Linked DNA regions of Arabidopsis thaliana. The protein of the gene in region 1 interacts with the protein of each later gene in a pairwise test. Each region holds a gene or a part of one and is shown on either strand. Other genes may lie near its edges.

The links. The genes of interacting proteins can lie anywhere in the genome.
Region 2: the proteins of BZO2H1 (region 1) and bZIP44 interact in binary tests that used the Arabidopsis thaliana proteins (3 or more experiments, as listed by UniProt).
Region 3: the proteins of BZO2H1 (region 1) and GBF6 interact in binary tests that used the Arabidopsis thaliana proteins (3 or more experiments, as listed by UniProt).

Annotation. Positions count from the first base shown.
Region 1 is NC_003075.7:1,152,240-1,156,912, reverse strand, and holds BZO2H1 (bZIP transcription factor family protein), read right to left. Parts: upstream 2,960-4,673; 5' UTR 2,883-2,959; coding exon 2,472-2,882; intron 2,384-2,471; coding exon 2,302-2,383; intron 1,956-2,301; coding exon 1,769-1,955; intron 1,688-1,768; coding exon 1,612-1,687; intron 1,536-1,611; coding exon 1,410-1,535; intron 1,321-1,409; coding exon 971-1,320; coding exon of another isoform or gene 967-970; exon of another isoform or gene 850-966; coding exon 828-849; 3' UTR 557-827; downstream 1-556. Other genes in the region: AT4G02650 (ENTH/ANTH/VHS superfamily protein), read right to left, coding at 1-374; AT4G02630 (Protein kinase superfamily protein), read right to left, coding at 3,752-4,673. UniProt on the Arabidopsis thaliana protein: Transcription factor that binds to the C-box-like motif (5'-TGCTGACGTCA-3') and G-box-like motif (5'-CCACGTGGCC-3'), ABRE elements, of gene promoters. Binds to the 5'-ACGT-3' motif of seed storage protein (SSP) encoding gene promoters (e.g.
Region 2 is NC_003070.9:28,290,115-28,293,559, reverse strand, and holds bZIP44 (basic leucine-zipper 44), read right to left. Parts: upstream 1,863-3,445; 5' UTR 1,337-1,862; coding exon 815-1,336; 3' UTR 552-814; downstream 1-551. UniProt on the Arabidopsis thaliana protein: Transcription factor that binds to the DNA G-box motif 5'-CACGTG-3' of MAN7 promoter. Involved in the positive regulation of seed germination through MAN7 gene activation.
Region 3 is NC_003075.7:16,519,883-16,523,781, reverse strand, and holds GBF6 (G-box binding factor 6), read right to left. Parts: upstream 1,922-3,899; 5' UTR 1,334-1,921; coding exon 854-1,333; 3' UTR 552-853; downstream 1-551. UniProt on the Arabidopsis thaliana protein: Transcription factor that binds to the DNA sequence 5'-ACTCAT-3' in target gene promoters. Promotes POX1/PRODH1 expression in response to hypoosmolarity stress.

The sequences.
Region 1 (4,673 bases):
TCAGACATGTTAAGCAATCTCGTTCCTCGTCTCGTCGCGAAGAAGATCTCTTGCTCGTAGGCTCTATCTCCATCTGTTAGCAACCGTTGGATCAAAATCAAGGTTTTGAGAGCAACCGACCAGTTCTTGGTCTTGTTGAGCCGTCGCGAGAGAGTTGCCACACAAGCGCTTACGTAATTGCGTGAGTAAGAAGTTAGGCATAAAATCTCTCTAATGTACTTGTCCTCCGCTGGATAGTCATCATGTCGCGTCGCTTTCACGACAGCTATTTCGAGTTCCGTTAAAGAACTGCTTCGACCACCGACTTTGGCTAATCCTACGCTTGTTTGATCTTTCACGGCTCCTATGGCACGTTTTAGCTTACTTGAACCCATTTTGACTTACGTACGCCGTTAAACAGAGGAAGAGAGAGGAGAAAAAAATTGGAAGAACGACGACTTTTTTCTTTCACTTGTTTGTCGTCGTCTCTTTTTCTCCTCTGTTTTTTTTTTTTGTGTTTTCTGACGAGAAAATGTGAATGCTTGATCGATCTACCATGGAAATCGCCGAGGTTGTCGGAATTTAATGATAGGGGAAATTAGTAAAGCCATGTGAGCTATCTTTTTTAAAATTGGATAAAAACAGATATACACTCTGTTATTAGCTATAAATAGAAAGACGATTCTCAAATAAGAATCTTGTAATGTTATAAGACAGAGCTTATATATATATATAAGCCATGAGACTGTATTTTCACAAGATGTTTTCTCATGATTCGTAACTTAATAACACTTACAAATTACAGATGCATAGACATTAATATAGTGCGAAACCCGCTTCTTGTTTGATCAGTCCACGCATTTTTTCGGCCTGTAAAATGAGCAAAAAAAGGGGAGACAGGAATCTGATATGTATAAACAGGGATCATAGTACTTCAAATGGTTTTAAATTGTTCAATGGTCTTAAAAGAAAGAGCCATGTTTTAGCTTACCATGCTGAATCGTTCTGAGGTTCGGTATTCCAGCCATACGGGTTGGCGCTTGGAGTAACATGGTGATTTTGCCCATTTCTAATTCTCTGCAAGGGAGAGCTGGTTTGGGATGGAGGAGCAGCGAAATTGTTTCCGAGTCTTGGAGGTAGAATGGTTGGGATCCCGATGTTTTGGTTTGACATATGGTTTAGGTTTGAGTGTGGTTGATAAGCTGGAATAATGCTAGAAGAATCCATCCTGTTGTTACCAGTTATTGGCATTCTGTTGTTGTTGTTATGTCCACTTGATCTTCCGAGAAGCATCGGATTCATTCCTGTTACTCTCTTCACGGTTTCTTCCGCCATTTTCACCTTAACATAACATGGGAGTTACTAAAACTGTATACAAAAAAAGGGTAGTTCAGAAAAAGGAGAGGAGGATAATACTTAAGTCTTCTTACCTTAGCTCTTAATGTCTCAATGTCAGCCTTTAGTATTCTATTGCCAACAGCAGCCTCGTCATACTTGTGATTCATGTTGCTCAGTTGTTTAAGAAGTGATGAATGCTCACCTTTTAGATCATTAACCTATCAAAATACAAATTAGGTCTCATTAATATCCTTCAACACAAAAATGAGGTGTTGAGAGGATACAACACAAAACCTGTGTTTCGAGGTCACTTGTTTGCTCCTGCTTTCTCCTTCTAGATCGCCTAGCTGACTCACGATTTGACAGCATCCTACAAATATTAAAAGGAAGAACAAGGCTCTATAAATGTAATCTTCAAACGACAAGAAATTGGAGAAAAAGTAATGATTACCTTCTAGATTTTTTAACGTCCTCTGGCTTCAAGGAACCGGTGGTTTCATTCTCTTCATCAAGGTCCTCGTCATCAGAATATTCTCTCGACGATCCACTAGTAACCTGCTTCATTGATACACCAGTTTTTTTCACCTCAGCTGGTAAGGAAGAAGTAACACCAAGTTCTCCTGGGGTCATCAAAGAACCTACCACGATTAAAACTTACTATGTCTAAGACTCAGAAGAGATATCTGAAAGAGAAAGACGAGCGCTGAAATAATGATTTCCCATATATTGAACTAACCACCAGAACTCATCTCAATCCCAAGCTTATTGTTCTTCCAGAAAGCAGTTTAATTTCAATGAGAAAGTCAGTCACAAAAAGATTGAAACTTGACGGATAAAACTAGGCGCTTGATCCAACAAAAGTACCATTTTCTATTTCTAATTCCTTAACCTAGGCATCTAAATTAACAAACACAGAACAGAGAAACGAATCTGCAGGTTTATCATCGCTCATCTATCCTGGTGAAACTAAGAAGAGACTCTTACCTTGAGTAAGAGGACTGGATTGAACTGGTTGAAGTTGAGTTTCTGGAGAACTAGTCGAATCTTCAGGCTTCACAGACCCAACCTAAGAAGAGAACATCAGAGCTTCAGATTTAGATCAAAACGCACAAATTACACATATAGATAAGAAAAATAGAAGATTAACAACACACCCGAAGAGAAACAACAGTAGCGCACTCAGTCTCAAGCTTGTTCTTAAGAACACGACGATAATCATCGGAATCAACAATCACCGTCTTCGTCGTCATGGGAGCAGCACAATCCAAATTTCCCGAATCGCGATCACGAAATCGACTATCATCCTCGAAATCATTCTGTCCGGAAACAGAAGGAAGAGATTGCGCCGAAGAAACACCGACGATCGCGTTGTTGTTGTTACCAAGTGGCTCAGAGCTCACCGCCGACGAAGAAATCTCTTCGAGAAACATCTCGAAAGTCCATTCCGGTTGACTCTGGCTAACTTCATCCGCCGTAACAGGCTTAGAAGAGTCGGGATTGAGAGGAATCGGAGGAGTTTCCCAGAAAGGATCGGAGAAATCGTCAATGGAGAAGATACTGTTCATCGCTCGCTCTCTTTTTCACTTTCTGATTCTTCTTTTTTTGTCGGTACTTTGCCTATTTGCATTTAGGTCCACCCACACAAGTATATTCTCTTTTTTTATTACGTACAATAAAATAAACATTTTTTCTTACACATTTCTGTTTTATTTCTTTACAATATTCTTTGAATAGTTTTTATAATTTAAATATCTATTGTATAACGTCCACTAATGTTTACATGAAAAAACGTAACAGTTTTTGCAAACATTGTTATTTAATTATTCTTCAAAGTTTGATTTATTCAATGAACAACGAAGTTGACATAAAACATTAGATTATATTTTAATTTATAAAAAAATACTATATTATACTGGTCATTAAAAATTTATAAAATGTCACCAGAAGCTAAACAAATAAATCACTAAGCTATATTACAAATTTACAATAGACAAGCCTAAATTATAAAAAAAAAATATATGGAGTTTTTTAAAAATCTAAATTTACCACAAAAAGCTTCTAAAAATAATTAACGAACTAGATCATTTTTTCGCGCCATATGTAAATTTAAACAGTCATTTTCAATTTTCATATATATGGAATTTACTCTCTATTTCTTTTTGACCTTAACATAGTGTCACCAATACCACAAATCACCACTATGTAGGCTATATTACAATAGAGAACGAACCAAAAGAATACAAAAAAACAAACCATATATATATTTTTCAAGCAATCCCCAGTTTTAATTATTGCAAAATTACAAGAATCTACACACATTTTTTTTTTTTTTGTGAAAGGGCTAAGAATCTACACACATAAATATACACACACAAGAAAAAACTTCTAAAAATAGTAATACAAAATTATAATGCCAAAGCTTCTTTCTTTTTTACTAGTTCTGCTTATTCTCCAAAGCTAATTGGTCATTGTTGATCAGAACAGAATTACCACTCTCATCCTCTGATTCATTCACATTTGTCTTCCTCCGCGGTGACCTTCCCTGTTCTATTCCTCCTCCTCCTCCTCCAGAGTTTCTCCGATCATCTTTAGAGACCAAGTCCTCAGCTTCAAGCATATGAATGATATGACCCATTTTTGGCCTCTTTTGAGCATTAGGATCAACACATCTTAAAGCTACCAAAAGGGTACGCTTCAATGACCTTAACGACGGTTTATCAACCATCCTCGGATCCAAAACTCCTTCCGCATCTCGATTCGTCACCAATCTCTTCAACCATTCCACAAGATTCACTTCTCCCGGAGCCCGGCTATAATCCACAGGACTTCTCCCTGAAATAATCTCCATAACAAGAACACCGAAGCTATAAACATCGCTCCTCTCATTCAACATTCCGGTACTCGCGTATTCAGGAGCCACATACCCAAACGTACCCATCACACGAGTAGTCACATAGCTCATCTCCGAACCCAAGAGCTTAGCTAACCCAAAGTCAGAAACTTTCGAGTTCCATTGCTTGTCAAGCAAGATATTACTCGATTTAATATCTCGGTGAACAACTTTAGGCTCAAGACCTTCGTGTAAATACATTAACCCTTTGGCTGTTCCAAGAACAATGTTCATCCTAATCTCCCAAGTAAGAGGACTCTTAAACCCCAAACCACCACCATGAATCCATTGTTCTAAATTCCCATTATCAACATACTCGTAAACTAACATCCTATGAGCTCCTTCAACGCAATAACCAAGCAATCTCACCAGATTCTTGTGTCTTACGCGTCCAATAGCTTCGACTTCGACTTTAAATTCTTTCTCAGCTTGTCCTCTGTTGTTGAGCAGATTCTTTATAGCCACC
Region 2 (3,445 bases), on another chromosome or scaffold:
GGCCTCGTACGTAAGAGCATCTTCATCGACAAAAGTGGTAGAGAATATCTCAAAAAATAAATAAATTAGTATTTTAATTAAATTAATATATTTTAATTAGTTTAAAGTAAATAAACCATTAGTTGAATGACAACTCTCAATAAATGCTAAGAATCGTCTCTTTTGCCAGAAACGGTTCGCCACTTTTCTTTCTTTCTCTCTTGTTTTTTTTCTTTTTAATTATTATTTATTTGATGAGTATCTCAATCAGATACTTCGATGGAGATGGTATAAAATTCTTAAAAAAGAAAAAAACTCGAGTGACCCATGATAACAACTCATTTTGATGTAAGTACCAAAATGCATAATTATTTTATCACATCGGGAAAATATAGTCTCTAACACAATAATCACAACACACCATTTCTATATAGTATTTTAAATGGACCACCGCCATCTACAAAAACCGTCCACGAGCTTTCACATTATTTTCATTTATTTCACTAATAGCCAAAATTTCATCTTTCTAATAAGAGCAACAATAACTCCCAAATAAGGAAACAGAAAACTCTAAGAAAATGACAAAATATTATTTCTTCACTTTTAATATATAGAAAGAAAAGATCTTAAAATATTTGTACCAAACTCACATCACCATCTCCATGATATCACACATTTCTTACACTGTCTATCATTACAATCAGTTTTAAACACTAATTAACCATCTTATAAAATAAAGAAACAAAGCATCATCACATAATTTATAAGAAAAATTACAGTTTTACCCCTGCTGCGATGATTAGTCTCACTCACGATGATAATGATGTGAAGTTTTCTAACAGTTGAAAACATCACCAGCAGTAGAAGCAGAAGCCATGATTGGTTGATTATAAAACCCTAGATTCATAGGATTCATCACGCCGTCGAATAATCCACCGTCGAATAATCCCTGACCGGTCTCCATACCGAATCCTGAAGAAGAAGATTCGACGAAATCAACGATCTCGTTAAGAGATTGGAGACGGTGGTTAAGTTCAAGAACCTGAGCTCTGAGAATGTCGTTCTCCGCCTCGATAGTGACGTAGTGCTGCGTCGTGACGGCGATTCCGGCGACGATCTGAGCGTTTTCTTTACGTAGATGAGTCACCTGAGCAGTGAGATCATCCAAATGCTTCTGCTTCCTCATCCTCGACCTCCTCGCAGATTCTCTGTTCGACTGTTTCCTCTTTCTCTTCCGCTCGTCGATTAGATCACGTTGCCGGAGATCAGATTCTGAACCGGAGTTAGCTAAACCAGTGGTTGAAACCGACGAGCAATTTCCACTTGTGGAAGATCCCATTTCAGTTTTATTATTCATATTAAAACACACAGAGAAAATTAAGTACTATGATTAAGACGCAGGACCCAAAGTTTATTATGTAAAAAGATTATAGTATATAGTTTTAATATATTATTATGGTTATAGAATATATAATAATAAAGGGCTAAAGGAGAGCTGATTTATGAGAAAACATAGAACCAGTAGAGAAAGACGACGGAGAAAGATTGAACAAGATGGGTCCTGCGTCTAAGAGACGAGTCTATAGTTAAACCAGATCTAAGGATTTCACTAATCACCGGAGACATGAATGTTTGAACATCAAGATCCACAAGAGTTTTGCCACATCAAATATTTATCAAACGCAAACTGATTACTAGTGTTTTTTTCTAGAGAAAACTGAAAAGAGAGAAAATATAAAAAGGTAGAAGAAAACGAGGAAGACAAAATAAAAACGCTAAAGAAGAGAGAGTGATTGATTCGAGAGCGAAGGGGAAGAGGTGAATTAAGGATTTGTGAGGGGATTTTATAGAGTTAGCAAAAAGGGTTTAGAGCATACTAGATTTAATAAGAAAATAAAGAGAGTATAAAGTGAATATCAGAAAGAAGGTGTTGAGAGATGAAGCATGTGAAGTGGGATTTTCCGAAACAGTCAAGTTACAGCTGTTTTGCAATATTTTATTTATATATTTATGTGTATGGGTTTAATTGTAAATTAATGATTCTGTATAATTAACCAATAACTATTTTTAGACATTTTTAATATGGAAAAGGAAAGAATCTTCGGTATTGGGTATCCTATTTTGTGAAAAGTTTTGATTTTTAAAATCTTCAAATTTTATTCTCTGATGAAAACAACGCGTTTAATTAATTTTGGTCAAATGATGGCTTTCAACAATATTACAGTAACACTGATAATAATAGTTTTGTATTAATGCTAACTTTTACTGCTAAAGAATCTTAAAGATAATAATAATAAGAATAATTGAAACTTTTGTCGTTGGTTCTCGACTTCTTTTTAATACATCAAAATCACCGCCCAAAGTACCAGAATTAACCGTTGAGCAACGGACACCTGGAGCATGAGACAAATCATGAATGAGGGTAGAGGTGGTATTTTCGTTATTTAATTTCTTATACATATATCTTTTTGTCAATAATTCAATCAATTTCGCTGTCCAAAAAAATAATATATATATTTAGGATAATAAATTAATAGTTTAGAAAACTATCAACTAACCAGCCGTTGAATTTATCGCCGTATGAAGCATCAAAATTAGAACTATTATTATCTTTACAATATTTCTATAACGTTTTGGAGTCCACTATAAAATATCAAGTTACATATCGAAAAGAAAAGACAAAAAGAAAAAACAATAAACTTTAAACGAGTAAATTACAGTACGGTAAAAAACTACTATTTGACAACAAAAAGAAGAACATATATACATTATCTAAACATTAAGGGTGTCAAAAACTTTAACTCATTGAACTTCATGTGACCGACGTGTTGTGGTACGTATAGTTACATAACATTGGATTGTAGAATCCAAGACGTAAATTCGTGTCAATTTATAAAATAATTTTATTGTGTGTAACATATTACATGTGGACCATGACTACTTAATCATTTGGTTTTGGTGCTTTAACTGAAATGGTTTGTGAGAAACTCTTTACCAAATTTTTTTGTTCATCCTCGAGCTCGTAATTAATCAAACATTTCGGCAAAACTTTGATATCTATAAATCTCATAAAAAGATTGAAATAAGAATAATACGTACTCATCTACAGCTCTATAACTTACAATAATATTATATACTAAATTTTGTAAAACACACATATATATATAGCTTAATTAATTGAATAGGAAAATTATGTAAGATGGACCGTCATAGTACGGACATCTCACGTGCAATTGCAATGCAAAGAGTGCGTGCTCTGTGCGCATGTGGACCCATGTCAAACATCGCAGTTGAGATGTAAGATCGACACGTGTCATTTTATTATTGAAAATGGATTTTTAAAAAGAAAAAATGTTGGTTCAATCGAATAAGTGAAGTCTAACGTTAATTAGGTATTTCCAATTAATGAATGTGTCCCTGCAAACATTGCAACAGGTAAGAAAAAGTAATTTGTACTAATTTGTCT
Region 3 (3,899 bases), about 15 Mb from region 1:
AGAATACAAGAGGCTATGATTTCACCTATAAGTCTAGCACACAAAAAAAATCTCCAAAATTCACAAGAAATAAGTTTAAAATATTTTACAAGAATCTGCACAGTTTCATTTCTTATTCTGAGAGATCTTCAGACATAAAAGGATTTTATGTAAGATGTTATATGTTGTTTATCTTTTTCCAGATCAAAAAGAAAATAAGGTTTCTTCTTATTACAACATTAACCTACCAACCCTCAATTCATCTAGATTCTTAAAAGTTTTGAATTTCGTAAGTCTTCTTCTTAAGAATAGATCCAAATCTATAAACTGAATCTAATATCATCCACACTCGTTCATGACTAAAAACACCTTAATCAACATTAACACCTTTTTAAAATTTTACTTTGGCGAGTTGAAGATTACCCAAAATTACAAGCTATTTTATCATTGATATTTCATCTGCCTACTATAATGTTTGATTGGCGTGAAACATGATTCTGTAGAGCGTACGTTACATGCGAAACTCTTACTACGATACATTTTATTACTTTACTATTAATGCTCAAGAAATTATATAAAAATGGGATTAGTACTTAAGAATAAAAAGAAAGTAATAAGCATATTACAATATTAAGAAAACACTTTGTACTCATGCGGCAACAGAGCCTTTATTACAGACACACTCATAACGATGATGCTTAGAGATACCTAACGCCTAAAACGGACCCAAACAAACAAAAATTTGAAATGGAAACAAATCAAACAACAGACCCATTTTTATATATAAATCTCTCTCTTTGGACATGTCTCTAAATCGGACAAATAAAAACGGCCCCATTTCTTTGTGATTTCGAGGGGGTTTTTAGGTCCACATTTAATACATTAAAGCATCAGAAGACGCCATGAGAGGCTGGTTCATAATATAAGACATGTTCATCTGATTCACGAAGAAATCATCACACTCCAAACCAACCAGAGGGTTCGAACACATGCCCATGTTGTTGTTGTTGTTGTTGTTGCTACTGTCGAGGAACTCGATGATGTCGTTGAGAGATTGGAGCCTGTGGTTAAGTTCATCAAGCTGAGCTCTGAGAACAGAGTTCTCTGCTTCAACGGTTAGGTAGTGTTGCGTTGTGATGCTGACACTTGTCACGATCTCCGTGTTCTCTTTTTTCAGATGATTAACCTGAGCCGTTAGATCGTCTAGGAGCTTTTGTTTCTTCATTCTTGATCTCCTTGCAGATTCACGGTTTGAGAGCATCCGTTTACGTTTCCTCTGCTCCATGAGACTCTCCTCCGATCCTGACGACGTTTGAATCGTCGACGAAGTTGTTCCCGACGACGACGATTCCATTTAGTAACACACAAACAAAAACAGGGAAGAGTTTTTTTTAAGAGAAGAGAGATAAAATATTTTAAAATGGGTTTTTAGGGGAATTAAAAACAGAACAGAACAAGACACAACAGAACAGGACAGGACCCAGATGACGAAAAACGAAGAAGAGAAATTTGAAAAGAAACTAGGGTTTTGTTGTAATTATGCGTATAGATATAAAACTGGAGATAAGTTCAGAGATCATGAGACATAGTAAAGCCAGTAAAGGAAGACAACAGAGAAAGATTGAACAAGATGGGTCCTGCGCCTGATTGTGGAATTTAACATAAACCCAGAGAGAAAGATCTCACTGAGTATTATTGGAGACATGTGTCTCAAACACCAAGAACTGCTGATTAAGCATCAATGTTTTTTTCTATTTCTTTTTTTTTGGTAGCTAGCCTACTCTTACAGAAGCTGAGATCTCTAAGAAATGAATCTTTGAAGAAATCAGAAGAAGAAGAAGGAATTAAAGGCGATATCTTCGAGAGAGAGAGAAAAGGGAGAGAAGGAGAGAAGAGGGGGCTTTGAAATGGTTGAGGAGAAAGATTTTATAGAAGAAAAATCATCAAAAAGCGTTTTGAGTGTTTGTGCAACTTGATGGTAAGCGATACATTTGTTTGGATTCTATTAGGGGAAGAAGATTCTTTTCTTTATTTTTACATTTTTTTCCTAACTTTTTTTTGGTAACATTTTTTCCCTAACCTTTAAAAAGTTTTCTAGAGTGTCTACATTAATCAAAGCAATATTTTAAACAATTAATTTTTCTTAATGAAATATTTCAAAATTAATTCAAAGATAAGTAAGAGAAAGTGTTTTTTCTTCTTTTGAATGGTATTGATCAAAAATTATATGTATTTAGTTGGTAAATTATTTACTCATCATTATGTCAAGATAAAAAAAATATTTATATTGTTTAATGAAAAGCCTAATCATATACTGTATTAAATTTAGATACTATGAATCTTGCATTTATCATAATTAAAAATAGAAAAATTCATCAAATAATTTTAAATAGAAAATTTAGATTTAAATTTATGCTTAAAATAACTCTTGAGATTATACATTCATCAAGTCTTGTTTTTTCCATAAATTTTGTTGCAGTTATACCTAAACATCCATTTAGATTTTTTTTTGCATTTAATAACAAGTAATTGAAAATATAGCTTTATTGAAGTTCTTAGAAACCTAATACCAAATAAATTTCCCTTTCAAATTTTATAAACTGTCGTGGTAGATAAAGATATTTCAAAGACAGAAAATTAAAGCTCACACAAAAACAGACCAGCTTAAAAATTGACCTGCCTAAATTTTTTTTTTTTTTCTTTTGGTTTTGTTTAGTACTGTGATTTCTTAGGAGGAAAGAAATTGAAAAAAAAAACAAAGTACAGTTTCTTTTACAAAGATTGCAGATAAAACTATTCTTTGTTTTAGAGGAAAACAAAACTTTTTCTTTGTTTTCTTCTTTTTATTATCACAAAAAGTAAAAAGTTAAGCTCAGAGGAAAAAAGAAGCGAGAACTTTATTAAATCTTCTTCAGTAAAACAGTAAGACCATCTCCATCGGTGAGAAACCCATTTTTATAAAATAATATAAATTTTATTATTATTTTATTATTTATTTTTTTAATTATTATTTGAACCAATCAAAACAAAACAAAAGCAAAAATGAGTTTCTCAAGTGAGAAACGTTTTTACTTTCTCTCCACATTTTTTGAATTTTTTGTTCTGTTTTAATAGACCAGAATCCAGAAACTCGCGATGGAAATGCTCTAAGTCTATATTTGTCGGGAGAAAAAAAACACACAGCAAATCTATTTTCACGTAACGACAAAAGAGAAAGAAAAATTAATGATATATTTGTAATGCGAATTATTATTAAAAAAAAAAGCAAAAAGAAAAACATGAAAGCCAGAATTTGTCTGCAGAAATCTATGAAACTAATTAAAAATCAATTACCACCAACACTAAATAAAATAGTTAATTTGTGAATAATCAAATGAAAAAAAACCTGAAATAAAAATAAAAAGAGATTAAGAAATACAAAAGAATCTGTGCTTAGAGTAAAATGAGAAGAACATGTGTAAGTAGGCCGAAGAAGAAGAAAAGGTGAGAGGGACATGTGAGGTTGGGATACGAACTCTCCAGACTCAATACAGCTGTTTTCATTTCCTAATCTTATTCTCCAATTTGTGAAAGATTTATACGTATTAATCTGGGTTAATTATTCAGATGCTGATAATATGTAAGGATTATAATAATTAGTTAAGTACTTGTAGAGTAGTAATTTAATACTACATTCTTAATGTATTCCACCGTCTTACCACAGATGGTGTTTTAGTTATAAAAATTGTTTTACAAAATTTAAATTACGATTAAATAATTTAACTTTTTTCGTTTTTTATTTATTTTCAGTTTCTCTTTATTAGTTTGGGAAAGTGTGGAAGAGATCCACTGATCCAGCCCACTTCCCAAAAACGATGCATGAATTTCACCAAACATATTCACTCAACATACTTTTTAGTCTATTTATAAATAAATCAAAA